Linked DNA regions of Macaca mulatta. The protein of the gene in region 1 purifies or fractionates together with the protein of each later gene. This does not show direct contact. Links are inferred from orthologs where the notes say so. Each region holds a gene or a part of one and is shown on either strand. Other genes may lie near its edges.

The links.
Region 2: the proteins of ZNF687 (region 1) and ZMYND8 purify together in Homo sapiens (affinity purification with mass spectrometry; 4 studies listed by BioGRID and IntAct, with this or other methods). This does not show direct contact. The link is inferred for Macaca mulatta from reciprocal best matches to the Homo sapiens genes ZNF687 and ZMYND8.

The regions. Positions count from the first base shown.
Region 1 is NC_133406.1:115,794,362-115,809,444, reverse strand, and holds the start of ZNF687 (zinc finger protein 687), read left to right. Parts: upstream 1-8,148; 5' UTR 8,149-8,702; coding exon 8,703-8,712; exon of another isoform or gene 8,713-9,043; intron 9,044-11,835; exon of another isoform or gene 11,836-12,707; intron 12,708-12,896; coding exon 12,897-15,025; intron 15,026-15,083. UniProt on the Homo sapiens protein: May be involved in transcriptional regulation.
Region 2 is NC_133415.1:100,033,017-100,047,999, reverse strand, and holds part of ZMYND8 (MYND-type zinc finger-containing chromatin reader ZMYND8), read left to right. Parts: intron 1-3,979; coding exon 3,980-4,360; intron 4,361-6,669; coding exon 6,670-6,860; intron 6,861-13,445; coding exon 13,446-13,526; intron 13,527-14,983. UniProt on the Homo sapiens protein: Chromatin reader that recognizes dual histone modifications such as histone H3.1 dimethylated at 'Lys-36' and histone H4 acetylated at 'Lys-16' (H3.1K36me2-H4K16ac) and histone H3 methylated at 'Lys-4' and histone H4 acetylated at 'Lys-14' (H3K4me1-H3K14ac).

The DNA.
Region 1 (15,083 bases):
AAACTATATATATACACATATATATTTTAATTAGCCAGATGTGGTCACACACACCTATAGTCCCAGCTACTCAGAAGGCTGAGCGGGAGAATTGCTTGAGTCCAGGAGTTCAAGGTTACAGTGAGCTATGATGACACCACTGAACTCCAGCCTGGGTGATAGAGCAAGACCCTGTTTGTTAAATAAATTTAATAAATAGGCCAGGTGGGCTGGGTGTGGTGTCTCATGCCTGTATTCCCAGCACTTTGGGAGGCCAAGGTGGGTGGATCACCTGAGGTCAGACCAACCTGACCAACACAGTGAAACCCCATCTCTACCAAAAATACAAAATTAGCCGGGCGTGATGGCGCACACCTGTAGTCCCAGCTACTTGGGAGGCTGAAGCAGGAGAATCGCTTGAACCTGGGAAGCTGAGGTTGCAGTGAGCCGAGATCGCACCACTGTACTCCAGCCTGGGCAACAAGAGTGAAACTCCATCTCAAAATAAATAAATAAATAAATATAAAAATAGGGTAGATGTGGTGGCTCACACCTGTAATTCTAGCACTTTGGGAGGCTGTTGTGGGAGGATCACTTGAACCCAGGAGATCGAGAGCAACCTGGGCAACATAGTGGGACCCCATCTCTACCAAAAATAAAAAAATTAGCTGGGCATGGTGGTGCATGCCTGTAATCCCAGCTATTCGGGAGGCTGACATGGGAGGATCACATGAGCCCAGGAGCTCAAGGCTGCAGTAAGCCAAGACTGCACCAGGGCACTCCAGCCTGGTCTCACTCACTCCAGCCTGGAGAGAGTGAGACCCTCTCTCAAAAAAGAAAAAGCCAGGCATGGTGGCTCACGCCTGTAATCCCGGTATTTTGGGTGGCCAAGGTAGGCAGATCACGAGGTCAGGAGTTCGAGACCAGCCTGGCCAGTATGGTAAACTCCGCCTCTACTAAAAACACACACAAAAAATTAGCCAGGCATGGCAGTGGGCGCCTGTAATCCCAGCTACTCTGGAGGCTGAAGCAGGAGAATCGCTGGAACCCGAGAGGTGGAGGTTGCAGTGAGCTGAGACTGTGCCATTGCACTCCAACCTGGGTGAGAGCGAGACTAATAATAAGAAACAGTCACAGCTCTCCTTGCTCGATTACTTTCTACAGGAGCATGGCAGTTACACCACTGAGGCATTCCTCAGTGCCCAGCGAAATTTTGTGCAAAGTTGTGCTGGGTACTGCTTGGTCTGCTACCTGCTGCAAGTCAAGGACAGGTAGGTGACTTCTGCTGCTCATCCTAACATTTCTCCAGGGTTCTCTCCATCCCTTCGTGTGTAGTTCTCAATTACTTATTACTGCCCTCCATGGCAAAGATGTGAAAAATGAAACAATATATTTTAAGCAAAGACAGAAGGTTTGTGAAGACTAATAATAATAATAATAACAATCGGCCGGATGCGGTGGCTCACGCCTGTAATCCCAGCACTTTGGGAGGCCGAGGCAGGCGGATCACGAGGTCAGGAGATCAAGACCATCCTGGCTAACACGGTGAAACCCCGTCTCTACTAAAAATACAAAAAATTAGCTGGGTGTGGTGGTGGCGCCTGTAGTCCCAGCTACTCGGGAGGCTGAGGCAGGAGAATGGCGTGAGCCTGGGAGGCGGAGCTTGCAGTGAGCCGAGATCGCGCCACTGCACTCCAGCCTGGGCGACAGAGCGAGACTCCGTCTCAAAAAAAAAAAAAAAAAAAATAATAATAATAACAATCAAGAATGGGGATAGGAGTAGTATAGGACAGAGTAGGGTGAGACAGAAGACGGCTGCAACAAGGAAAGGTGGTGGGTACTATTAACAGAAGGTGCGCACCATTAATCTGGTGGTCTATGTGTGCATCTCCAAAGATTCCTCCTACTAGCCGGCACAGTGCCTCACATCTGCACCCCCAGCTACTTGGGAGGCTGAGGTGGGTGGATCACTTGAGCCCAGGAGGTTGAGGCTGCAGTGAGCCGTGATTGCCCCACTGCACTCCAGCCTGGGTGACAGAGCAAGACCTTGTTTAAAAAAAAAAAAAAATGTGTGTGAGTGTGTGTGTGTGTGTGTGTGTGTGTGTATATATATATTCCTCTTACCCTTTCCCAGGCAATGGTTACCACAATTCTGCTACTATCACCATTGATTTACTTTGCCTGTTCTTGAACTTTATTTTTTATTTTTGTTTTATTTTTTGAGACGGAATCTTGCTCTGTTGCCCAGGCTGGAGTGCAGTGGCACGATCTCAGCTCACTGCAACCTCTGCCACCCAGGTTCAAGCGATTCTCCTGCCTCAGCCTCCCAAGTAGCTGCGATTACAGGTGCACACCACCACGCCTGGCTAATTTTTGTGTTGTTAGTAGAGATGGGGCTTCAGCATCTTGGCCAGGCTAGTCTTGAACTCCTGACCTTGTGATCCACCTGTCTCAGCCTCCCAAAGTGCTGGGATTACAGGTATGAGCCACCACGCCTGGCTTGAACTTTATATAAATGGAATCATACTATATATGTATAGTGTATATATATACACACACACACACATATATAAATGGAATCATACTCTCTATATATATGAAGTTCAAGAATTTTTTTTTTTTTGAGTCGGAGTGTCACTCTTGTTGCCCAGGCTGGAGTGCAATGGCACAATCTCGGCTCACCACAACCTCCGCCTCCCAGGTTCAAGTGATTCTCCTACCTCAGCCTCCCGAGTAGCTGGGATTACAGGCATGCACCACTATGCCTGGCTAATTTTTGTATTTTTAGTAGAGACAGAGTTTCTTCATGTTGGTCAGGCTAGTCTCGAACTCCTGACCTCAGGTGATTCGCCTGCCTCGGCCTCCCAAAGTGCTGGGATTACAGGTGTGAGCCACTGCACCCGGCCCATTCCTGTTGATTTAAATATCCAGGTAAATGAGTCTTCCAGGCCACTGGCCTCTCAGTCTCTTGATCTCCCCTTCTAGTCCATTCCTCTCTCCTGAATGCGTATTTCCTACCTTTTTTCTCCTCAAACTCCTAGTTTCTTCATCATCCTCACTCTTAGAGGGTGATCTTGATTTTTTATTCTTATAGAGTTTGACAACACATGCTCTTTCTTATACCACTGGACAACAGAAACAACAAAGAGATATCCCACAGCTCCCCAGCTCCCTCGACCCATGCCCGCTCACTCTGCCTTCTCTCCCAATTATTATTCGGGAACTGTTCCTGCCGCTGTGTAAGGCAATGCCTCTGTTTGTGAACTTGACCCTCTCGCTCACCTTCTGAAGAACATGGTTCCAGGAACTTTCCTTATCGCTCTGCTACTTCAGTTTCTCCTGTCTACAGGATCCTCCCCACCCGTGTACTAACATACAACTTCTTCATCTTCAAATAAATAGTCCTTTCCTTGGGTCAGTAGAACCTGATGAGAAAAAGAGATAACTATTAAAAGAAACAGTCCTTTCTTGGTCGCTTTTTTTCCTCTAGTTACCATCTTTTTTCTCCTTCCTTCCTTTGAAAGAGTTTTATAGTGACTTTTCTTTTTTCCTCCTCCATTCTTTTGAACCCATTCCATGCAGGCTTTTGTCCCCACCAGTCCATCAAATCTCTCCTTATCATGATCACCGGTGACCTCCATTTTGCTTAAATCCATTGGTCAATTCTCAGGTTTCATCCTATTTGATATTTTAGTGGCATCTATCATTCTCTCTTCCTCTTTCTTGAGATACTTTTTAAATTTAGCTTGAAGGTTACAACATTCTCCTGGTTCCCTCCTTCCTCTTTGCTGTTCTTCTCATCTCCTTGACCTTTTAACTTTGGAGTTTCCCGTGCCTCAGTCCTCCCTTGGTGATCTCATCCATTCTGACCTGGGTTTTAAACACTATCTATAAGCTGATGACACCTACATTTGTATCTCCACTTGGATGTGTAATACCTCAACATGACTAAAACTGAGCTACCGACCTAACCCCTAAAACCTGCTTCTCCTGTAGTCTTCTCAGCTCAAGAAATGGGGCAATATCATGCTTCTACTTCCTCAGCCTCCAAGCTCTGGAGTCTTTTCTTTCTCTCACACCGCACTTTCAACCCTTTTAAAACGTAAGTCAGGCCACCACGTCATCTGTCTCCTTTTGATGGCTTCCTATCCCACTCTGAGAAAATGCCAAAGAACTTCCCATAGCTTCCAAAGCATCCCATGACCCAACTCGCTCCTCCCACCCACTCTGGAACACACTCCCCACCTGAGGACCTTGTACTTGTTCTTTCTTCCTGGAATGTTCTTGTCCCAGATAGCTGCATGGCTCACTCCCTCATCTCCTTCAGACCTTTACTTAACCACCATCTTCTTGGAAAGGCCTTCATTGTCCACCTGATCTAAAATTGCAACCCTCCCACACTTACTGTCATCCTTCCCTGCTTTTTTTTTTTTTTTTTTTTTTGACGGAGTCTTGCTCTGCGCCCAGGCTGTAGTGCAGTGGCGCAATCTCGGTTCACTGCAACTTCTGCCACCCGGGTTCAAGCGATTCTCTTGCCTCAGCCTCCCAAGTAGCTGGGACTATAGGTGTGTGCCACCATGCCCAGCTAATTTTTTGTATTTTTAGTACAGACAGGGTTTCACCGTGTTAGCCAGGATGGTCTCGATCTCCTGACCTCGTGATTCACCCGCCTCGGCCTCCCAAAGTGCTGGGATTACAGGTGTGAGCCACCGCACCTAGCCGCCTGCTTTGTTTTTTGATTGTTTTTGTTTTTAAATTAACACTTTATTTTATTTTTTTTTTTGAGACGGAGTCTCGCTCTGCCGCGCAGGCTGGAGTGCAGTGGCCGGATCTCAGCTCACTGCAAGCTCCGCCTCCCGGGTTCACGCCATTCTCCTGCCTCAGCCTCCCGAGTACCTGGGACTACAGGCGCCCGCCACTGCGCCCGGCTAGTTTTTTGTATTTTTTAGTAGAGACGGGGTTTCACCGTGTTAGCCAGGATGGTCTCCATCTCCTGACCTCGTGATCCGCCTGTCTCGGCCTCCCAAAGTGCTGGGATTACAGGCTTGAGCCACCGCGTCCGGCCAACACTTTATTTTTTACAGCATTTTTAGGTTTACAGAAAAACTGAGCACAAAATGGGAGTTCCCACATATCCTCTCTCCAGTTTCCCGTTGTTACTGAGACAAGGTCTTGGTCTTTTGCCCAGGCTGGAGTGCAGCGGTGTGACTATACCTCACTGCAACTTTGACCTCCAGGGCTCAGGTGATTCTCCCTCCTCAGCCTCCCAAATAGCTGGGACCACAGGCGTGCACCACCATGCCACACTTAAAAAAAGTTTTTTTGTAGAGATGGGGTCTCTTCATGTTGTTCAGGTTACTCTATTATTCATTAATATCTTGCATTAGTGTGGTACATTTGTTACAATTGATGAACCAATATGGATTCTTTATTATTAAGAGACAGGGTCTCACTTTGTTGCCCAGGCTGGAGTGCGGCAGCAGGATCATAGCTCACTGCAGCCTCAAACTGCTGGGCTCAAGGAACTCTCCCGCTTCAGCCTCTTGAGTACTTGGGACTACAGGTGTGCGCCACTGTACTCCGCTAATTTTTCTAATTTTTTTGTTGATCCTCCCGCTTTGGCCTCCCAAAGTTCAGGGATTACATGTGTGAGCCACCACGCTCACAGGGTTCAGTCTTTGTGTTGTACATTCCATGGCTTTTGACAAATGAATAATGCCATGTATCCACTATTACAGTATCATACAGAATAGTTTCAGTGTCCTTAGAGTCCCCTGTGCTCCATTTATTCATCTCCCTCCCTCCACCTGAACCCTCGGCAACCAACCACTGATCTTTTTACTCTCTCTAGTTTTGCCTTTTCTAGAATGTCACATAGTTGGAATCATAAGGCATGCAGCCTTTTCAGATTGGCTTCTTCATTTATTCACGTGCACTGCAGATTCCTCTGTCTTTGCATGGCTTGATAGCTCTATTTTATTCCTTGGCAGCTATCAGTTCTAATATTTATTGTTTGTCTTCTCTTTAAGAATGTGTGTTTCATGACAGGGCTTCTTGTCTGCTTTGTTAACTGCTGCACCCCCAGTACCTGGAATAGTACCTCCTTCCATGGTTGTGCTAAGGATTGCATGAGTTATTAATGATATACATAACGTTTTTATTTGTGTGTGTGTGTGTGTGTGTGTGTTTTGAGACAGGGTCTTGCTCTGTCTCCCAGGCTGGAGTGCAGTGGTGCGATCCCAGCTCACTGCAGCTTTGACTTCCTAGGCTCAAGCGATCCTTCCATCCCAGCCTCCCCAGGAGCTGGGATCACAGTCGCCTGCCAACACCCCTGGCTAATTTTTTTTTCCCAAATATTTTGTAGAGGCAGAGTCCTGCTATGTTGCACAGGCTGGTCTCGAACTCCAGGGCTCAAGCGAGCTACCCACCTAGACTTCTCAAAGTGCTGGGATTACAGGTGTGAGTCCCCCATAATATTATGTGTATATGAGTAGTAACTGTTATTCCGTATAGGAAGACCAGAAGAGGAGGTGGAAACGGAATGCCGGTTGCTTACATAGGGACCCTTAAATAGTCCTCAGAGAAGGAAGAGCATCTGAGCTGGAGCGACTGGGAGCAAATGCAGGCGGACCGAGCACACAGGATGCAAGTCTCCGGGAGAAAGGGCACACTAATCCCAACTGCCAATTACTTTACAAAGCACGTTTACATTCTAAAATCATTTAATCCTCACAAAAATAATATTGTCAGGTGGTATTATAATCCCCGTTTTACCCATGAGAAAACAGGATCTGGGAGGTTGAGCGACTTGCCCATTGCCATCATAGGGCAAGTGGTGGCTCCAGGATTCCCATCCATAAGTTCTGACTCATACTTCAAAGGAGCTCGGAAACTGCCGGGGCTCGATGGGGAGTCCTGGTTCCAGTGTCCTGGGACTCCTGGGCAGCGTAACAAAACCACTTTCAAAAACCCTGCCGGGCGCGGTGGGTCACACCTGTAATCCCAGCACTTTGGGAGGCTGAGGCGGGTGGATCATTTGAGGTCAGAAGTTCGAGACCAGCCTGGCCAATATGGTGAAACCCCGTCTCTACTAAAAATACAAAAATGGCCGGCCACGGTGGCTCACACCTGTAATCCCAGCACTTTGGGGGGCCGAGGAGGGCAGAGCACGAGGTCAGGAGATCGAGACCATCCTGGCTAACATGGTGAAACCCCGTCTCTACTAAAAATACAAAAAATTAGCCGAGCGTAGTGGCCGGCGCCTGTAGTCCCAGCTACTCGGGAGGCTGAGGCAGGAGAATGGCGTGAACGCGGGAGGCGCAGCTTGCAGTGAGCCGAGATCGCACCACTGCACTCCAGCTTGGGTGACAGGGCCGAGACTCCGTCTCAAAAAAAAAAAAAAAAAAAGCCGGGCGGGTAGTGTTGCACACCTGTAATCCCAGCTAGTCGGGAGGCTGAGGCTGGAGAATCGCTTGAGCCTGGGAGGTGGAGGTTGCAGTGAGCCGAGGTCCCGCCACTGCACTCCAGTCTGGACTACAGAATGAGGGCCTGTTTAAAAAAAAAAAAACTTCGCCAAGGTAGGGAGCAGTGGCTCACGTCTGAAGGATCTCTTGAGACCAGCCTGGGCAACATGGCAAAACCCTGTCTCTACAAAAAATTAAACTAGCCGGGCGTGTTGGCTGTCTCTTGTAGTCCCAGCTACTCAGGAGGCTGAGGGGGGAGGATCACTGGGGCCTGGGAGGTTGAGGCTGCAGTCAGCCGTGATCGCACTACTGTGCTCCCACCCGGGCAACAGAGTGAGACTGCCTCAAAAAAACTAATTAAAAAAAAAAAACACCATGCAGTTAACGAGCGGCTGCGTGCGCGAGGTGGCACGCTGGGCTTGCAGACGAATTCTGCCAGTGCTATTAGAACATTTAAGAGATTCATTTTCCGAGCGACTCCTCCCTTTCCCCCGCCTGCAGGGGGCGTGGCAACAAAGCGCGGGAAAACTCGACCTTGACCCCACCCCCTACTCCTTGCTGGGGGCGGGGAAAAGGGGAGCTCTTAAATGGGAAATGGAGCTGGGGGGTACCTCCAGCCCATACTTAGGAAGCCTATCAGTTGCCCCTTTAAGGCCTCTTTGGAAATGGCCCAGGCCACGCCAGCACTCCTAACGTCCCCTCCCCCGCTTCCGGTCCGCGAGCACTTCCCAACCTTTAGGTCCCGATTCCTTCCACGTTCGGAATCCCGTACCCCGTCCACGCCCTCCCGCAGAGGGAGGAGCGACGGGTTACGCTGTGGCCCAGGAGCTGGCCCGTGCGAGGATCCCATCCATCAGATTATATGGCGATTTAGACGGTGGGAAGACAGCGAGGAAATGGTCAGCGGATGACGTAATGTTTGGGGTGGCGTCCCATTCTGTGACTTCTGCCCGGCATCAGTGACACGGAATTAGCTTGAAACAGCGCAAAAGGACCTACACTTCCGTCCTGCACTCCGACTCAGTGCGGTTCTGCTCAAAGCGCCCACCACACAGAAGCTGGATTCCTTCGATTCGCGAAAGTGAACTGCAGCTTCAAGCTTCGAGCGGCCAATAGGGAGCGAGGGGCGGAGACGCACCTGGGCGCTCCCCTCTCTAGTAGGAAAGCCGGGAAGCAGGCTGGCTTCTTTCTAAGCGACAGTGGCGGAGGCCAATCGTTTCCGTGACTTGCAGATGGGGCAGACGGACCCTTGCGCAGCCAATGGGGAGAGGTATCTTCAGAGGGCCTCGGCCCCTTGCCCAATGAGCATAAGAGGACTGTGCGGGGCTAGTTCCGAGCGGCAGTACTTAGGACCAACCCAGTGCGGGGCTGGGAGGGGCGCAGGGCTGAGCGAAGGGGGCAAGGGCCAATGGCGAGTGCGAAAGCGGGCAGCCCAGACCCGGAGCGCGGAGGGAGGAGAGGGAGGGGGGAGGCTGAACCGGAGAGAAGCAGGAAGTAGCGGCGGCCGCGGGGAGGGCGGCGGTGGCGGCAGCGGCTGGAGTGGGGTAGAGACCGCCGGGTCTCGGCCCGCACCAGGAGCGGAACAAGTAAGCGTGCCTGGGGTAAATACCCGCCCTTGGCTCCGCCCACTTGGGGGGGCGGGTAAATACCCCCGCCCCTCCCCCACTTGGTCAACTACCCCCTTCTCCGCGCCGCCCCCTGGGGCGGCTTCTAGGAGGGCCCAGACACCGCCTCCATCCATTGGGGCGGATGGGCAAAACTCCCGGCCTGTTGAAAGCACAGCCCCTAGCCGGGTAAACCCCCAGGAGGGTCGAGAACCCCAAGTCCTGGCGCCCCCAGCTCGAGAGGCACCCGAAGTGCGGCCCGGAGATTGGAGGCTGCGGGATGTCGCGACCTAAAATGGTGTCCGTTCCCGGGGATGGGGGCGGGGGGACTGGGCCAGGCCGGAGCGGAGCCTGCACCCCGACTGGGCGCGGGTCAGCGTCCGGGCCCGGGCAAGAATCAGGCTTGCGCCCCTGGCCCCATGTGCACCCTCCGATCAGTCTCCAGTCTCTAGCGAGCCTCCGGGAGTCCGCGGCGGAAGGAGGTTCCGCTGCGCCCGGAGGCGAGGGGACGAGGTCCGAGTTGGAACGGACCCCGGCTAGAGAGCTGAGAGTCGCGCAGAGACCGCCCCTTCTCTCCTCCCCTCTTTCCCAGCTCCCCACCCCATCCTGTGTAGTCCTGGGTCCCCAGGTGCTGCGCAGCAGGTACCAAAGGGCCTGGCCTGACTGAGGCCCGGCCTTCGCTTCGCACGCCGGTGCGAGTGAGAGAAGCGCCGCGCGCCTCAGTTTCCCTTGTAGTTTCTCTTGTGTACACCCCGCCCCCTCCTCGCAACCCAGGACTTGTTCCCCGCGCCGGCCCTCGGCAGATGGCAGGGACTTAATTCCGCCCGCTGCCCAGCTTGGCCGCAACCTAATCGCCGCCAGCCCCTCGCCCTCCTCTGCGCTGCAGGCCTTGGGCCCGGGCAAAGGGCAGTGAAGCCCCCACTCGACCTGGGTCTGTTCAGCCTTTTCCTGTTCAGCCTCTTTGGCTTTTGGGGAAGCACAGAGGGAAAGGGGGCAGGGGAGATAGGAGCCCTAGAGACAGGGCTCAGCAGTCGCAGGAAGGCCTGATCTTCCTTGGCCTTGAGCTCGGCGACTTGCTTGGTCGACTGCTCTGAGTGGGTGGCCATCGGATGACCTCTAAGTCACTGGAACTCCCAAGAGGGAGGTGGCTGGCGGCGGGGGGTGTGCGGGTGAGTTCACAGGTGTTTTCTAGTCTTTGCTGGTCTTCCCTGTACCAGTCCACTTCTGAGTACCTGAATGGAAGGTAGCTCAGGCCTCTGATCAGGAGGGAGCCAGGCTTAGGAGCCAGGCCCATAGAGACAAGGGGTTTTGTTTAAACCCAGAGTCTGCAGAATTAAATAGGGTGGGAGTGAGGGAAGGACTCCCCCTTTGTCTGGTTGGTATCCTTTGCCCCCACCCCACCTTGGTCCCAGGAATTCCAGCTGCCACATGCTGCGGCTGTCTCTAGTTACAGTATGAAGGCTGGAGAGAAGTGGGAGAACTGGCTTCGAGAAATGGCCTGCAACCTGGGCATGGAATGGATAGGGATAGATTCTTTAGTTGCTTCTTCGTAGATACAGAAACAGTCATGGGGAGGCACTGGCAGGGGACAGACATGGGTCTCCCACAAACTCTGAGCTGGCCTGCATGTTCGATTAGTACCACATAATTCTTGTGGGATTTTAAATTTTATTTTTTGCACTTGGCTAGGTTGAGGTTAGGTGAAACTTCCTGGGCTACTGTTGCCACAGGAAAATGGAAAGGGTGAGGAGTTTAAGTTAGGGAATGGAATGGGGTGAGGAGCTCGGAGCAGAAATGATAGGTGAGGGGTGAAGGAGCCTGGCTTTTCCCCACTGTGGCAGCTGTGCTGGATAAGTGTGTACCCTGGGAGTTTTAGCCTCAAGAGAGCAAGCTGCGGAGGGGTGGTGAAGGAGGGGCTGGCTAGGGGAGGGCCAGGCACTCTGGGGAAGGTAGTGAGCGAGCAGCAGGTGTTTGTGACAGGAGAGGCCTAGGCTGGGGCCCTTGTGACCAGGCTGCCATCACCATTTTCCCCTCTGTCTCTTCTCTTTGTCTCTTTCTGTTCCTGTGTCTTATTTTTTCCATCTTGGTCTCTTGGGTAATTTCCTTGAGTCCTTTTCTCCCTGCTGACCAAGCTAGATCTCCAGGTGCCAGTGATGGCCCCAGGTGCCCTAGACTTGATCCTGCATGACCCCTGACTCTTGCCTCCGACCCCAGCCCTAGAGTTCCAGGGGTTATTCCTTTCCAGCTCTTCCTTGACCTGACATGTCCTTGCTTGGTTCATCTGGAATAGTGAATCGTATTCTCGGTGTGATTCTTACATTAGCAATTTCGTATTGTGCTCAGAATAACCCTATGATATATAGATCACTTGTGCTCTCTGTCTTGTCTTTTCTTTTTCTTCTTTTTTTTTTTGAGACAGGGTCTCACTCTGTCACCCAGGCTGGAGTGCGTGGCGTGATCATGGCCCATCACAGCCTCGACCTCCTGGGCTCAGGGGATCCTCCCATGTCAGCTGGGAGGCATAGCTGGGAATACAGGCATGTGCCATCATGCCTGGGGAGTTTCACCATGTTGCCCAGGGTGGTCTTGAACTCCTGGGCCCAAGTGATTGACCTCCCAAAGTGCTGGGATTACAGATGTGAGCCACCACACCCGGCCATTTGTGTCCTCTTTCAAACAGCAAAAGTAAGGCACTGAAGAAACTTGCTTGTACTGCAGGCCCCTGATAAAGCTGAACGAGGATCATTTCTTAAGTCTTGGCTTACGGCCTTGCCCCTTTGTACACATAGCCTTTCAGATCTCTGTGGACCCCAGAAGATCCATGAAGAATATGAATTGATTCCATGTGGACATGAATGAGCCCTTAAACCTAGAGCATCATATACATCATCCTCCTTAATGATAGTATCGATTATTTGGTTCTGTGCTGGGCACAGGAGGGGATGAGCTGGTTTCCACCAGGATGCTCACTGAGCTCCCCTGTTCCTGTATTTCTTCTTCTTTTTTTGTGTGTTTTTTCCTGAGATGGAGTCTTGCTCTGTCACCCAGGCTGGAGTACAGTGGCACAATCTCGGCTCACTGCAAGCTCCGCTTCCCGAGTTCAAGCAATTCTTTTGCCTCAGCCTCCCGAGTAGCTGGGACTATAGGTGAGTGCTGCCACGCCCAGCTACTTTTTGTATTTTTAGTAGCCCCGGGGTTTCACCATCTTGGCCAGGATGGTCTTGATCTCCTGACCTCGTGATCCGCCCGCCTCTGCCTCCCAAAGTGCTGGGATTACAGGTGTCAGCCACTGTGCCTGGCCCCCTGTATTTCTTTTTGAGACAGGGTCTTACTCTGTCCAGGTTGGAGTGCAGTGGCATGATCTTGGCTCACTGCAACCTCAACCTCATGGGTTCAAGTGATTCTTCTGCCTCAGCCTCCTGAGTAGTTGCTATTACAGGCATGCGCCACCACACCTGTCTAGTTTTTTGTATTTTTAGTAGAGACAGGGTTTCACTATGTTGGCCAGGCTGGTCTCAAACTCCTGACCTCAAGTGATCCACCTGCCTCAGTCTCCCAAAACACTGGGACTACAAGCATGAGCCACCGCACCTGGCCCCTTCCCTGTATTTCTGAGAACTCTCTTTTCTCCTGCTTTCTCTGGATTTTGGAGCCTGCCAGGGTATGGACACTAACCTTCTGATTTTAGGGTTTGGCAAACCTAGCAGCTCTGTAGGATTCATGCTGTGGTGGAGGTGTACCTAAGTTGGAGTGCATATGGGTTCTGAGAGAGGATAAATATGGAGATGCTGAGGAAAGAGCTCCAGGATCTCCAGACATCTCAGTTTCTCCTTATTCCTGTTTTCATCAGGTCTGGGACCTGCCGATATGGGGGACATGAAGACCCCTGATTTTGATGACCTCCTTGCTGCCTTTGACATCCCTGACATTGATGCAAATGAAGCCATCCATTCTGGGCCAGAAGAAAATGAGGGGCCAGGAGGCCCAGGGAAGCCAGAACCAGGTGTGGGAAGTGAATCTCGAGACACAGCAGCAGCCTCAGCTGGGGATGGCCCTGGAGTTCCAGCCCAGGCCTCTGACCATGGCCTGCCACCGTCAGACATTTCTGTAGTTAGTGTCATTGTCAAGAACACTGTGTGTCCTGAGCAGTCTGAGGCCCTGGCTGGAGGCTCAGCAGGGGATGGGACCCGGGCTGCTGGGGTAACTAAGGAAGGGCCTGTGGGGCCTCATCGAATGCAGAATGGTTTTGGGGGTCCTGAACCTTCCCTCCCAGAAACCCCCCACTCTCCTGCTCCTCCCAGTGGGGGCACCTGGAAAGAAAAAGGCATGGAAGGCAAAACTCCCTTGGACCTGTTTGCTCATTTTGGCCCTGAGCCAGGGGACCACCCGGATCCCCTGCCTCCCTCTGCACCCTCTCCCCCTCAGGAGGGGGCTATGACCCCACCTCCTTTCCCCTCTTCCTTTGAGCTGGCCCAGGAGAATGGCCCAGGCGTGCAGCCACCTGTTTCTTCCCCACCGTTGGGGGCCTTGAAGCAGGAGAGCTGCAGCCCCCATCAACCCCAGGGCCTAGCCGCACAAGGCTCAGGCTCCAGCCCTGAGGCCACGGACATCCCTGCCAGTGCCTCGCCTCCCCGAGTTGCTGGGGTGCCCTTCTTCAAGCAGTCTCCAGGGCACCAGAGCCCTCTTGCCTCCCCCAAACTGCCCGTCTGTCAGCCCTTGAAAGAAGAAGAAGATGAGGGGCCAGTGGACAAGTCTTCCCCAGGAAGTCCCCAGAGTCCCTCTAGTGGGGCTGAGGCTGCAGATGAGGACAGCAATGACTCCCCTGCCTCCAGCTCCTCTAGGCCTCTTAAGGTGCGGATCAAGACCATTAAAACATCCTGCGGGAATATCACAAGGACTGTAACTCAGGTCCCTTCAGATCCTGATCCACCTGCCCCCTTGGCTGAGGGGGCGTTCTTGGCTGAAGCTAGCCTCTTGAAGCTGTCCCCTGCAACACCTACTTCTGAGGGTCCAAAGGTGGTGAGCGTACAGTTGGGTGATGGTACAAGGCTGAAAGGCACTGTGCTGCCTGTGGCCACCATCCAGAATGCCAGTACTGCCATGCTGATGGCAGCCAGTGTGGCCCGCAAGGCTGTGGTGCTGCCTGGGGGGACTGCCACCAGCCCTAAGATGATTGCTAAGAATGTGCTAGGCCTGGTGCCCCAAGCCCTGCCTAAGGCTGAGGGGCGGGCAGGGCTGGGGACTGGGGGACAGAAGGTGAATGGTGCCTCAGTGGTGATGGTGCAGCCTTCAAAGACAACTACTGGGCCGAGTACAGGGGGCGGCACAGTGATCTCACGGACCCAGTCCAGCCTGGTGGAGGCCTTCAACAAGATCCTCAACAGCAAGAACCTGCTCCCTGCCTATAGGCCAAACCTGAGCCCACCAGCTGAGGCTGGGCTGGCCCTGCCTCCCACCGGCTACCGCTGCCTGGAGTGTGGGGATGCCTTCTCGTTGGAGAAGAGCCTGGCACGGCACTATGACCGCCGGAGCATGCGCATCGAGGTCACCTGCAACCACTGCGCCCGCCGCCTGGTCTTCTTCAACAAGTGCAGCCTGCTCCTGCATGCACGTGAACACAAGGACAAGGGGCTCGTTATGCAGTGCTCACATTTGGTCATGAGGCCCGTAGCCCTTGACCAGATGGTGGGGCAGCCGGACATCACACCCCTGCTGCCTGTAGCTGTCCCACCTATCTCTGGACCTCTGGTCTTGCCTGCCTTGGGCAAGGGTGAGGGGGCCATCACCTCCTCTGCCATTACTACAGTTGCTGCTGAGGCCCCTGTCCTGCCACTCTCCACTGAGCCGCCTGCTGCCCCTGCCACTTCTGCTTACACGTGCTTTCGCTGCCTGGAGTGCAAGGAGCAGTGCCGGGACAAGGCTGGCATGGCAGCTCACTTCCAGCAGCTCGGCCCCCCTGCCCCTGGGGCCACCAGCAATGTGAGTCACCTTTCACAGCCCTTCTGTGGGGACAGGATCTAGGAAGGCGTTGGGGGCT
Region 2 (14,983 bases), on another chromosome or scaffold:
CAGAACAGAAGCAAAGAGAGTACACTGAAAGACTCTGCTGTGCTTTCACTGGCACATTAGTAATTTCCATCCTTCTACAAAGGGGATGCTAATTTTTCTCTTAAAAAGTCGTTGCTTTATAAATGAAAAACAGTGACCAGTGACAGATTCAGGAATAAGTAGGTTAATTTGATAGGGCAGCTTCTCAGGTGCTGACCCTTTAAAAAAATTTGCCCTTTTTTTTTGCTACAGGTGATTGATTATGTACTCCAAATTTCTGGGACAAATGAAATTTCCTATAGCCTCATTTTGTCTCCATAAACCATCAGGATTCCTAGAAATTTAGATATTTTGGTATCTAAATAACTCCATACAATTTTGAGCCTGGAATCTTATCAGATTGTATACTCCAGTTCTTTATTTGGCAGAGAGCCAGCTGTGATCACTGCAGAGCAGTAAGCCCTCTGCCCTGCTGGCTGTTTCAGGAGAACAAATCAGGAGAGAGAAAAACGACCATTTTGAGGTTGCCCTTACAGTGGGGAGACAGGCTAGCTAATCAACAATAACAGTATATTTTTTGGTGATGTGGCAGGAAAAAAAGGCATTGAAGGCACTTATGCAGGCTAGAAGCTCTGCTAAGGCACTGCCCCCGTGCCCTCCTCTTAGAAGGGCCCAGTTCAACACCTCATCTGCACCTGGAAGAGGTGGGGACAGTGCCCCATATCTGGCAGGTGGCCCTGGAAGCACCGGAGTTCTTCACTGCAGGAAGCCCTCCTTCTGGACCCACCCTGGGCTCTTGTCGACCAGCTTGGCTGGATTCTCCTCTCTGGGGAAGTAGGAGGGCCAGCAACAAGTGATAACCATCGAGAACTCCCCCTGAAGTCAGAATAGTCAGCTTGTCTCTTCTCCTCCTTGGCTTCTTAAAACCCACAGCTTACTGAATGAAAATCCTTGGAGTAATTAAGCTCATGTCTTTTTCTGGGTAATACTGATCTTAAAAAGACAGACATAGGCCAGGCACAGTGACTCACGCCTGTAATCCCAGCACTTCGGGAGGCTGAGGCAGGCGGATCACGAGGTCAGGAGATCAAGACCATCCTGGCTAACACAGTGAAACCCCTTCTCTACTGAGAATACAAAAAATTAGCCGGGTGTGGTGGCGGGCACCTGTAGTCCCAGCTACTCTGGAGGCTGAGGCAGGAGAGTGGTGTGAACCAGGGAGGCAGAGCTTGCAGTGAGCCGAGATCGCGCCACTGCACTCCAGCCTGGGCAACAGAGTGAGACTCCGTCTCAAAAAAAAAAAAATAAATAAAAAAGACAGACATAATCCTTATTTAAAGGAGTTTGATGTCAGGGAGCATAGTCCAAGATCAGGGGTGCTAGCTTGTACCTGGGTGTGGTGTGTGTTCCCCAGATATCCTCTCTGGAGCACAGGCTCACCTAACTGGGGGCTGAGGCCTGTGCATCCATAACTGAGCCACCTTTACAAATAAGCACCCATGTGGTCATCCCCTCTACCTGCTGCTGAGTGCTTCTGGCTCTAACCTGCCTTCCAGCCCCTCCTCCTTGCCTGCCCTCACTTACCCAAATGCTTTCTGTTCCTACACATATCTTGGCTGATGCTGTTCCCTCTAGATTCTCACTTTCCGCCTGTTGAAATCCTACCCTTTATTCCTTACCAGCCCAGCTCTTCCAAGATGACATACTCCATATGGCAGTATTTTTCAAACTTGAGTCATTCACATTCATTGTCTTTCCCGTTCTCAAGTCCTGCTTGTATAATTTTTGACTTAATATTTTTATTTAAAGAATCTGTGTTTTTTTTTTTTTTGAGATGGAGTCTCGCCCTGTCACCGAGGCTGGAGTGCAATGGGGTGGTTTCGGCTCACTGCAACCTCTGCCTCCTGGGTTCAAGCGATTCTCCTGCCTCAGCCTCCCGAGTAGCTGGGATTATAGGCACACACCACCACACCCGGCTAATTTTTTGTATCTTTAATAGAGATGGGGTATCACCATGTTGGCCAGGCTGGTCTCAAACTCCTGACCTCGTGATCTGCCCGCTTCGGCCTCCCAAAGTGCTGGGATTACAGGTGTGAGCCACTGCACCAGGCCAAGAATCTCATTCTTTAAACATATAATTAAGCACATTTAAAACGGGACACGGTAGCACGTCCCATATAGTCCCAGCTACTCGGGAGGCTGAAGTGGCTCACTTGAGCCCAGCCTGGGTGATACAGCAAAACTCTCTCTCTTTAAAAAATAAAATAAAATAGGCCGGGCATGGTGGCTCACGCCTGTAATTCCAGCACTTTGGGAGGCCGAAGTGGGTGGTCATGAGGTCAGGAGTTCAAGACCAGCCTGGCCAAGATGGTGAAACCCCGTCTCTACTAAAAATAAAAAAAATTAGCTGGGCGCAGCGGCAGGCACCTGTATCCCAGGTACTCAGGAGGCTGAGGCAGGAGAATCGCTTGAACTCAGAGGGCGGAGGTTGCAGTGAGCCAAGATAGTGCCACTGCACTTCAGCCTGGGCAACAGAGTGAGATTCCATCTCAATAAATAAAATAAAATAAACTCTTTATTTATTTTTCATTTATTATTATTTTGAGACAGAGTCTCACCTTGTCACCCAGGCTGGAGTGCAATGGCATGGTCTTGGCTCCCTGCAACCTCCGCGTCCCGGGTTCAAGCAATTCTTCTGCCTCAGCCTCCCGAGTAGCTGGGATTACAGGCATGTGCCATCATACCTGGCTAATTTTTGTATTTTCAGTAGAGACGGGGTTTCACTATGTTGGCCAGGCTGGTCTCGAACTCCTGACCTTGTGATCCACCCACCTCAGCCTCCCAAAGTGTTGGTATTACAGGCATGAGCCACTGGGCCCAGCCTATTAGTGATGTTTTTTGAGAAGGAGTTTCATTCACTCTGCCTCACAGGCTGGAGTGCAGTGGCGTGATCTTGGCTCACTGCAACTTCCGCCTCCCGGGTTCAAGCAGTTCTCCTGCCTCAGTTTCCCAAGTGCACCACCACGTCTGGCTAAGTTTTTTGTATTTTTAGTAGAGACGGGATTTTGCCATGTTGGTCAGGCTAGTCTCAAAATCCTGACCTCAGGTGATCCGCCCGCCTCAGCCTCCCGAAGTGCTGGGATTACAGGCGTGAGCCACCATGCTTGGCCTCAATTTATTTTTTTATTAAAAAAATTCCCCCTGAAAAAACCATCTGCAAGTATAAAACTCATTTTAGACTTGAACACCACCCAATAAGAACAGTAGCGCACAGTATACATAAAAGCTGGTGACAGGAATAAATCCAATCAAAACCAAAGCAATGCTACTCAATCCTAGATCAGTACCATTACGTTGGGGGAAGGTTCTGGCCTTGGGGCAGAATTTATGTTCCTGGTATTGTCATGGCTATCAGTACCGCCTTCAGACTTTGTCCTGGAGGGAATCAGAAGAGATAAAAAGAATGCTTTTCTTTCTGGGTGATTGAGTGTTACTTACTTCTTTGACCATTAGGAGGCCATCTGGTTCTTTGGAGTATTGGTTTCTACCTTCTCTAGCCAAAGAATTTCTGTTCATCTCTCGATTCACTTCCGCTGGGCCTCTCTCAAGGTGCCAACTAGATTTTAACTTTGCGAAAAGGGCGTGAACATAGATTGAATCTGTTCGCCCACTGCGTTGTCCACTAGGTGTAGGGGAGCTTGAGCATAGGAGCCGGGTCTTGTTTGCCTCATTGGCCCCCAGAGGTGTTGACTTGTATCTCAGATGTGAGCCGGCGCTCAGTAAAGGAGGCCGGTGCTCGTGGAGATGGAAGACGCAGCAGAAGTGGCCTCAGCGTTAGGTGAGACTGTACTCCTCCAGCGCGGTGTGCGTGGCACGTCGAATTGGTTCGGCTTTCCTGGCTTTCGTAGGTTTTACCCAGAACTTGCTGGCGTCAAGACCCTGCAGGCGAACCTGAGTGAAATCGCGGTTTTTGTTTGTTTTTTCTTCATGCATTGGCTAGTTGTAGGTAAAGCTCCACCATCCACGACGGCGGGCAGCCAGTCTCCCCCGGAAACGCCGGTGCTCACCCGCTCTTCCGCCCAAACTCCCGCGGCTGGCGCCACAGCTACCACCAGCACGTCCTCCACGGTCACCGTCACGGCCCCGGCCCCCGCCACCACAGGAAGCCCGGTGAAAAAGCAGAGGCCGCTTTTACCGAAGGAGACTGCCCCGGCCGTGCAGCGGGTCGTGTGGAACTCATCAAGTAAGTTTCAAACGTCCTCCCAAAAGTGGCACATGCAGAAGATGCAGCGTCAGCAGCAGCAGCAGCAGCAGCAAAACCAGCAGCAGCAGCCTCAGTCTTCCCAGGGGACGAGATATCAGACCAGACAGGCTGTGAAAGGTACCGAGCCTCCCCTTCTGTTCTCCGTGGCGCCCGCTCCCATTTTGCCACATCGACAGGAGAAAGTCATTGCTCTCTTGTTTTTTTTTTTTTTTTTTTTTTAGTTCTCGTTTGTTTCCTGGCCATTGTATCTTGAAGGCCTTGCACATTTCATTTGGCATTATTTTTAAAAAGTGTTTTGCTACTTGCTTTTTTACTTTCGAAAAGTTTTTTTGTTCATTTTATAAATTATACATGCATATATTCTCCTTAAAAGGGGGGCAGAAAGTTTTACATAAAAGTTTATTGTCCCGTTTACCTTCCATTTCATTCTCTCCCTTCCACAGTGACCAGTATCAACCGTTGTAAAGGCTTTTCTATGCATGTATGCATGTATATGTATATATACATATCTGTATGTATATATGTGCGCGTCATGTATATGATGCCATAAAATTAGTCCTTTTCCCCCCCTTTTTTTTCTTTTTTAAAACGTAAAAATGGTACCATACTTGCTTTTTTTTTTTCCCCCACCCATTAGCATGTTTTGGAGGTCCATCCATGTCAGCACATACAGCCCTGCCTTGTTCTTTCGGACTGCTGCGTAGTATTCCATAGTTTATTTAAAGCATTCCCCTCCTGATGGGTATTTAGGTTGCTTTCAGTTTTTTTTCCACTGTGAGCAGTGCTGCAGTGAATATCTTTGTATAAATTTCCTTGTACACATGAGGGAACCTCTTGGAATTATTTTGGAAAAAGTACAGTGCGAGAAGTTGATAGCGAAGGTTACCTTAGTAACTGGAAATTCGTCACGCACAAAAGATGAGCCAGCCTCGAGAACCACTTGCTGAAGTTGCAGAATCAGAACTCCCACCAGCCCTACAGGAGGCTCCATCTGGAGCTGAAATTAGGCCAAACACAGTGCTGATCTGACTGGTTGATACCAGTTTGTCTGGCTTTTGTGAGCATTGATGTAGATCTCTTTCTATCAGGAAACCTGCATCTAGATCCTCAAAGGCTGGGTTCTTCAACGGAAGCTCATAGTGAGTGCGCCCCTGTGAGTGGGGTTCGTGAGCAGCAGGACGTGAGGTTGAAAGGTGGCCAGGTCTTGAATTGGCCCCCAGTGAAACACTTCAAAGATGGCAAGGGAGTGGGTCCTGAAAAATTGGCCAGGCAAAATTGAGAGTACAGTTGGAGTAATCTTGCTGTTTAAAAAGTTGGTGGGGCAAAGCCAAGTCTAGGATATTTGAGATTGGGATTGCTGCTTCCTGTCTTCTGTCTTCATATCTCGTAAGCAGGAGGCTTCCCCAGGGGAGTTTAATTGCTACCAAGAAGAGGGTTGGGCGCGGTGGCTCATGTCTCTAATCCCAGCACTTTGGGAGGCCAAGACAGGCAGATCACTTGAGGCCAGGAGTTCAAGACCAGCCCGGCCAACATGGTGAAACCCCATCTCTACTAAAATGGAAAAGAAAACATAAAACTAGCTGGGCACATGCCTGTAACTCCAGCTACTCAGGAGGCTGAGGTGTGAGAATCCCTTGAATCTTGGAGGTGGAGGTCGCGGTGAGCTAAGATTGCGCCATTGCATTCCAGTCTGGGCAACAGAGTGAGACTGTCTCAAAAAAAAAAAAAAAAAAAACCAGAGAAACAAACAGACAAAAAAAACCAAAAAAGAGTGCTGCCAAAAAGAGGCTCATTGCTTCAGATAGTCTTACACCAAAGTAGGGCCTAGTTAAAAGGGTAAAGACAGATTTAAATCGGTAATACACTACTGTAATGGGGCAAGAGTCTAACATAAACTGAAATTAACTTTGATTTGTACAGAGGTGACTGGGCATTTTAAAGGGAGAATGAGGGAGTAGGGATGGGAGCAAGTCGTTGAAGTTAAACATCACAGAAGCAAGATGAGGGGTTGGTCTTTGTGAAACCCATCTCGATTTGCTAACGGGCACTTCATGAAGTTGGGCCCCTACTCTCCCATAGAGACTGGGATGCTGAAGTCCTGTCTTCAGGTGTTGGTTGGAAGAAAACTGTCAGTTCTTTTGCCAGCATTGAGTTTTCCCAGGCAGGTGCTTTAAGTGGGGGTTGGGGTCATCCTAGCATGCACTCTTGAGCTCTTAGAAACTGTCAGTGTTTGCTCAAGTCTTTCCAGGCCAAGGTTAGGGCCTAGTCGAGAAACCTGGATAGAGTTTGGTCAAGGGGAGCATCTTTGTCATTTAAAAGTAGAAAAGTTCTCAGGACGTATATTAGGGGCTTTGCTTCTACACCACAGCTCTATGCTGGGACGGGTCCTTCCCACGTGGGATAATCAGGATGCTTTGCCTTCCTAGCTGTCCAGCAGAAGGAGATCACACAGAGCCCGTCCACGGCCACCATCACCCTGGTGACCAGCACACAGTCATCGCCCCTGGTCACCAGCTCGGGGTCCACGAGCACCCTTGTGTCCTCAGTGAACGCTGACCTGCCCATCGCCACCGCCTCAGCCGATGTCGCCGCTGATATTGCCAAGTACACTAGCAAAGTGAGTGGATGGGAGAGCTGCCGCAGAGACGGCAGGCATCTGGCAGGTTGCCAGAACCTTGGCCTTGCAAGGGGAAGCATGAGCGTCTTAACCTCGTAGGCTTTAGGGAGTGTTTAGGAAGGAAGACCCTTTTTATTTTTTAAACAGAATCTCCAAGACCACATTCTTTCATTTGGGTCTAACAGAGAAACATTGGAATGGACTGAATCTTAATCCAAGTGGGCTTAGATTCTAAAGTCAGTTTATGAAGTGCAAATGACATATAATCAGAATTACCTTCGAGAATTCAAGTCACTTATAAAGGCACTGGAACACATGACTGATCCTTCAGTGAACAACTGACCAGGGGTTGGGTTTGCATTTAGAGCTTTGCATGTGGAGCAGAAGTGACAGAGTCTTAAACATGACACTGGCAAGGTGAAAGCCCACACTTTAATTTTTCCAGGAATCAAGATGGATGAGGAGGGGGACCGAGGGGACCCCCTCTCCCTCTTCTCCTGCCCTCTGGGGCACAGTCCCTATTAAGTGGCCTGGTGGGCAGGATTGCCTGTTGTGGGCAAACTCATGGTCACTGTCTCAGCACAGGCCCCTTCTTTTTTTCTCTTAATTTGCCAAGTGCTTTTTTTTTTTTTTTTTTTTTTGAGATGGAGTCTCACTCTGTTGCCCAGGCTGGAGTGCAGTGGCACGATCTTGTCTCACTGCAACCTCCGCCTCCTGGGTTCAAGCAATTCTCCTGCCTCAGCCTCCCAAGTAGCTGGGACTACAGGCATGTGCCACCATGCCTGGCTAATCTTTGTATTTTTAAAGTACAGATGGGGTTTCGCCATATTGACCAGGCTGGTCTCAAACTCCTGACCTCGGGTGATCCACCCACCTCGGCCTCTCAAAGTGCTGGGATTACAAGTGTGAGCCACCACGGCCGGCCTGCCAAGTGCTTTTATGGTCATTGTTGAATTCAGGTAGATACCATCTGCGGTTCTCAGCGTCATGTGAGAGTGCCCTGGACTGATGTACTGTGTACCTTGTCATTAGACCACATTAGTAATAATAACCATCAGAATGTCAGCTCCGCAAAGGCAGGGATTTTGGTCTGTTTTGCTTACTGCCAAGGCCTAGAACAGTGCCTGGCATGCAGTAAGTGCTTAACACATAATTGGGCTTTCTTTTTATTGGCCTCAGTTATTATCAATAACTTAACAATAGCTATTGATTTATAATCTACTGAGATTATTTAGTAAATTACTAAGTAGGTAATAATTTACTCTTTACTGATGAGTAGATTATTAATACTGATGAGTAAACAGTTCTAGTTTTCAGAGAGAATGGATGAAAATAATTGAGGATGGTTGTTTCTAGAATTCTTTCTCTTTTAAAAATGCAAACAGGGTCTCATTTTGTTGCCCAGGCTGGTCTCAAACTCCTGGTCTCAAACTCCTGATCTTCCTGCCTAGGCCTCCCAAAGCATTGGGATTACAGGTGTGAGCCACCACACCCAGCCTATTTCTAAAATTCTTATAGTCTTACTGATAAAGAATAAGCTTTATTATATTGAGTTAAGGGAAGAGGAATCTTTTTAAATTCTCAATGGTGAGAGAAATATATACGAATTTTTTTTTTTACCCAAATGAGTTTTCATTGGTCATGTTTCTTTTTGTTGCTTCTGTGTAGGTGTAATTGTTATCTATTGCTACAGAACAAATTTCCACAAAACTTAGCAACTTTAAACAGCACACACCTTTATTATCCTACAGTGTTTGTGGGTCAGGAATCTGGGCCCGGCTCCACAGGGCTCTCCGCTTCAGGATCTCTTGCAGTTGCAGTCGTGGTGTCTGCAAGGGTTTGGGACTCACACAAAGGCTCAACTGGGATCCACTCTCCAGGTCATTTAGGTGGTGACTGGCAAGATTCACTTCCTTGAGGGCTGGTGGTCTGGGCCACCCTCAGTTCCCTGCCATGTGGGCCTCCCCAGCATGGCAACTTGCTTCATCGAAACCAGCAATGGAGACTGGGCACTATGGCTCACACCTATAATCCCAGCACTTTGGGAGGCCGAGGTGGGTGGATTGCATGAGCTCAGGAGTACAAGACCAGCGTGGGTAACATGGTGAAACCCCGTCTCTACTAAAATACAAAAAATCAGCCTGGCATGATGGTGTGCGCCTATGGTCCCAGCTACTCAGGAGGCTGGTACACAAGACTTGCTTGAACCTGGGAGGTGGAGATTGCAGTGAGCCGAGATTGTGCCACTGCACTCCTGCCTGGGCGACAAAGCGAAACTCTGTCTCAAAAGCCAGCAATGGAGAGAGCCTGCTGGCAAGACAGAAGTCACAGGCTTACTTAGGCCAATCACAGAAGTGACACCCCATTACCTTTGCTGTATTCCATTGATTAGAAGCAAGTTGCTAGGTCAGAGGGAGGGGATTACAGATGGGCACAAAATAGTACTAGGTTGGGATCATCGGCAGCCTTCCCACCACATAAGGTAGCAATATGTCTGCATAGTATTTACTCTGGGCTAGATGCTGTCCTAAGCACTTTTTTATGTTACTTACTCAGTCTTCTTGACAAATTGATGAAGTGTAGGTACTGTTATCACCCCAATTTTATAGATGAGAAAACTGAAGCCCAGTGAAGCTACACAGTGTGTCTAGGGTCACAGACTAGTGAATGGCCAAGCTGGACTTTGAATGATAGCAGCCAGGCCCTAGACAGCGTGCACTTAACCTGGCTTTGAGTTGCTTTGTGCATTTCAAACAAGCCTGCTGATCACAAATGTTCATGCCACAAACTGTTGCCACACGACTTTTATAAGCAACTGCTCTTAGGATTCAGTGTGGCTGTTTGAGCCAGTGGCTGTAACCACAGCACTTTGGAAGGCTCAAGTGGGAGGATCGTTTGAGGCCAGGAGTTTAAGACCAACCTGAGCAAGACATGGAGATCATGTCATGTCTTTACAAATAAAAAAAATTAGCTGGGCATGGTGGCATGTGCCAGTAGTCTCAGCTATTAGGGAGGCTGAGATGGGAGGATTACTTGAGCCCAGAAGTTTGAAGCTGCAGTGAGCTCCGATTGCACCATTGCACTCCAGCCTAGGTGGACAGAGCGGGACTGTGTCTCAAAAAAAAAAAAAAAAAGAAAAATAAAAGGCCTGGTGCAGTGGCTCACGCCTGGAATCCTAGCACTTTGGAAGGCCCAAGCGGGTGGATCACCTAAGGTCAGGAGTTCAAGACTAGCCTGGCCAACATGGTGAAACCCCATCTCTACTAAAAAATACAAAAATTGGCCTGGCGTGGTGGCAGGCACCTATAAACCCAGCTACTCAGGAGGCTGAAGCAGGAGAATTGCTTGAACCCAAGGGGTGGAGGTTGCAGTGAGCCGAGATTGCGCCACTTCACTCCAGCCTGGGCAACAGAGCGAGACTCTGTCTCAAAACAAAACAAAACAAAACACGGGGGAGGTTGTCACGAAAGTGTTCAAGGCCTAACAGTACCAAACTGAGACTTCTTGCTAAAGCGATCTGTAGGATTCTGTAGGATTATTAGAGAATTGAAAGGGGGTAATTTTCTCGTTAGTGATTTAAGTAGGTGTCTGGTTTTGCCTGAATGATCTCTTGTTCTACCTTACGTTGTCCTTACATCACCTTCCTTTGATTTGGTCCCAGCTGTTGCTCATGAATGGGAAAGCTGAGGTCTGCTGAGTGGATCTGATTAGTGGTTTGCAGGAAGGCTGTTTTCTCAGCTCCTGCAACCATTTTAATTGTTACCTTCTGCATCCCCTTTGTTCTTTAAAAAATTGTTAAAAAAAATTTTTTTTTAAGAGATGGCGTCTTACCCGGCTAATTTTGTATTTTTAGTAGAGATGAGGTTTCACCATGTTGGCCGGGCTGATCTTGAACTCCTGACCTCAGGTGATTCACCTGCCTTGGCCTCCCAAAAGTGCTGGGATTATAGGCATGAGCCACCGTGCCTGTCCAGGAATGATTTTTTTGATAGGTGTTTTCTTTGAAGTTAAAAAAAATGAACACAGTGACATTTTTTGGGAGCCGATAAACTTTTCCTGTCTCTGAGGTGACCTGGAGTGGAAGACGCAGTTCTGTGTGTTTTGGCAGAGTGGTGTTCTTTACTGATGTTGAAGTCTTTGCTATATTTGGAAGTTTAGAGTAAAAGGCAGTCCACGAATGCATGATATCTTTGAAATGGAATGTGACCATTGCATTAGCGATGTATTGAATTTCGCCCACTTTCTAAAGTTTTCTTGTAAAGCCATTTAGTTGTAATTTTTAAAATGGACACGGTGGGTGCAACAGAGCAAGGAGGCAAGTGCAGGAGGCTGCAAAGCTGTGGAAAGTGCACAGTGTTTTCGCTGATAGTGGCCTGGTGTGGACTCCACAGCAAGCTGAGCGTGGAAATCTCAACAGAGGTTTTATTCATTTTACTCCATTTTGCGGCGAATTTGGGCCTACTATTTTGGGGCTTGGCAGCAATTACGCAATTGCATACTTGTATGAATATCTTTTTCTTTAAAAATAAGATGAATGGGTATTTCTTTATGAACACCTGCTCCATGGCAGGTAACGAGACACAGTCCTTGCGTGGTTTTTTTCATTTAATCCTCGTGCACACCCTACCGGGGGGCATGCAGTTCCTGTTTTTTTGTGGGGAAACCGAGGCTTAGAGGCCATGGATAGTGAGGCATCAGATACGAGGCTGCTCTTTGTCCCGCCTTCTCCCTGAATTGGGGCATCTAGAAGGCGCTGGAGAGGCTTCATACCAGTCAAGCCGGGCCTGAGACAGAGCCTGATCTCTTGTCCCCTCCTCTTTCTGCTGTGATGGGGGAAGGGTCAGCTGGCAGGTGGGAGGTAGAAGAGAAATTCATCCTACGAACATAGTCAGAAAATCCCTGGGTGCCTGCTTCATGGACCTTAGCTGATGTCACCAACTGGCTGATGCCTTCAAGGGTCAGATAGTTAAAGAAAAAGAATATGGGAAATGAACTGCAAAGACAATGTCTTGACTGAAGGCATTAAAATGACAAACCAGCCATATCTATAAAATGGACTATAAAAAGGAATGAAGTTCCGCTGCCTGCTGCAGCACGGATGCGTGAATCACAGAGGACCTTGAGTTGTGTGATTCCATTTATATGAAATGTGCAGCCTGAGCAAATGTGGAGAGGCAGAAGGCAGATCAGTGGTTGTCAGTGTCTGGGGGAGGGGGGATGGGATACCGGGAAGTGAAGACTAAGGCTGGGGGAAATGGGATTTTCTTTCTTTTTTTTGTTTTTGAGACGGAGTCTCACTCTTTCGCCCAGGCTGCAGTGCAGTGGCCGGATCTCAGCTCACTGCAAGCTCCGCCTCCCGGGTTTACGCCATTCTCCTGCCTCAGCCTCCCGAGTAGCTGGGACTGCAGGCACCCGCCACCTCGCCCGGCTAGTTTTTTGTATTTTTTAGTAGAGACGGGTTTTCACCGTGTTAGCCAGGATGGTCTCTATCTCCTGACCTGGTGATCTGCCCGTCTCGGCCTCCCAAAGTGCTGGGATTACAGGCTTGAGCCACTGCGCCTGGCCTGGAGTGGGATTTTCTTTACGGGATAATGAAAATGTTGTGAAATGATTGTGGTGATAGATACACAACTCTGAGGTACTAAAAGCCATTGAATTGTATACTTTAAATGAATGAATGGTGTAGTATATGCATATACCTCAGTAAAACGGTGCTGGTTTTTTAAGGGGAAATAATGAAAACTAAAACAGTAATCCCTCTCTTGAACCTACCGTGCTGGCCAAATAAAAGACATCTGGGGGTTGGGCACGGTGGCTTCAGCACTTTGGGAGGCCGAGTTGGGTGGATTACTTGAGGGTCAGGTGTTCAAGACCAGCCTGACCAAATGGTGAAACCCCGTCTCTACTAAAAATAAAAAAAAAAAAATCGCTGGGCGTGGTGGTGTGTGCCTGTAATCCCAGCTACTTGGGAGGCTGAGGCGGGAGAATCGCTTGAACCAGGAGGCAGAGGTAGCAGTGAGCCAAAATCGCGCCACTGCACTCCAGCCTGGGCGACAGCGTGAGACTTCCCTTAAAAACAAAAAAACCAAAAACAAACGAAAAAAAAAAACACCACACATCTGGGGGCCAAATTTGGCCTCTCCAGTTTCAGCCAAACTGTGGTATAGAAACTAGCTTTATGTGGGTATGGAAACTAGCTTTATGGTTATGAAGTGGCACCACAATGCAATACATGAAATTTCTTGGAAATTTTTACCCTGTTAATATTGGGGTTTCTTAACCTCAGTGCTGGTGATTTTGGACTCAAAGGTTTTTGTTTTTTGTGCGGGGTCCTTGTGTGCATTTAGCATGGTTTAGGTAGGAAGTTTAGCAGCGTCCCTGCCTCCACCCTCCAGATGCCAGTAGCAGCCCCTTCTCCTCGCTCCTGCACCTGTCACGACAACCAGAAATGCCCAGTGTCTCATGTGGGACAAAATTGCTCTGAGTTGAGAACCTCTGCTTTATACAGATAGATTTTAGGTATTTGTCTCCAGGAAAAGCCTCCAAGAAGTGATCAGCTGAATTGTTTCTGTTTTTATCTTTCAGATGATGGACGCAATAAAAGGAACAATGACAGAAATATACAACGATCTTTCTAAAAACACTACTGGAAGCACAATAGCTGAGGTCAGAGGTGACACATGAATTCCTTATTTGCTAAGAGTGTTTTATGGGCTGCTTTAAAGGTGATACCCTGAAGAAGCTTCTCTGGAAACCCCTCTTGGATCCTGACTTGGTCACTAAGCTGGCTCTACTGATTGTGATTGTCGATGAGGGTATTTTTTCTTTTAACCAGTCAGCTGGGGCTGTGGAGACATGCCCTGCTTTGTGTGATCAATTCATTTCTAATAAAACAGCCAAAACCAGAGCTTCAGTTAACCTACTGGTGAAACTGGACACCAGTTCTTTTTGCTTCATGTAAAACTGGCTCCTGAATCTTCTCTGTAAGTTTGGACTTTTTAATACAAGTGCTTCTTGTTGTTCAATACTTTGTGTACTGGAGTCTCCATAATTATGTAATTGCGTAGAGAAGAAAGTGGTTAAGACATTTCATTGGCTGGGTGTGGTGGCTGTAATCCCAGTGCTTTGGGAAGTTGTGGTAATCCCAGCACTTTGGGAATCCTGAGGATTGCTTGAGGCTAGGAGTTTGAGACCAGCTTGCACAACATAGTGAAACCCATTTCTACAAAAATTAAAAAAAAACAAGCAGGAGATGGTGGTGTGTTCTGTAGGAAGCTGAGGCAGGAGGATTGTCTGAGCCTAGGAGTTTGAGGCTACAGTAAGTTGTGATTGTGCCACTATACTCCAGCCGGGGAGACAGAATGAGACCCTGTCTCTTAAGGAGAAAAAAAAAAAAAATTAAGCTATCCACTTATAAAGTGTCCACCTATAAAAATATACCTCCCTGAACTTCCCCTTTAGGCTAATTCCCTATCAGGGCTTGGAGAGTGGGCCACTTCCCGGTTGTCTGTGGATGGTACAGTGTGGGCCAGATACAAACAGGTTATCAGATGAAATGACAAGTGGCAGGACTTATAGAGGTCATCTAAGGTGATGTTGGAGAACTGTGGGAATCCTTTGCAGAGCTATTGACCTTTTAGGACTTGGCAGCATTAGGCGGGTGCTCAGATGAAGAGGAGAAGATCTTCAGGAAGGCAACCTTGTGGTTCCTTAAACAGAAAACATTGTGAATACAAAGATTTAAGAGAGGCCCCAAGAAAAATCAATGAATCCCCTTAATAGTTTTGCAAATATGACCTTTATGATTATGCTTCAGACATCAAAGAAGAAGGGAAAAAATAATGCTTTAGAAATAACTTCATTCTTGTTTGTATACATCGTAAGAATTGGTGTGTGGTTGAAAATACGGGTTCATAATATCTCACCTGAAACCTTGGGTCTGGATGTATGCCAGAAGTTTTTTGGATTTTAGAGAGGTAATATGCAACCCCCCACAATTAGAGACACCATTTCTGCAATGAAATGTGATTGTTCACACTACGTGAATAAATCATGTTTTCTCAGCCTTAGCTATACTGACGTTTGCACCAGGTACTTTTCTGTTGTGGGGCTGTCCTGTGCAT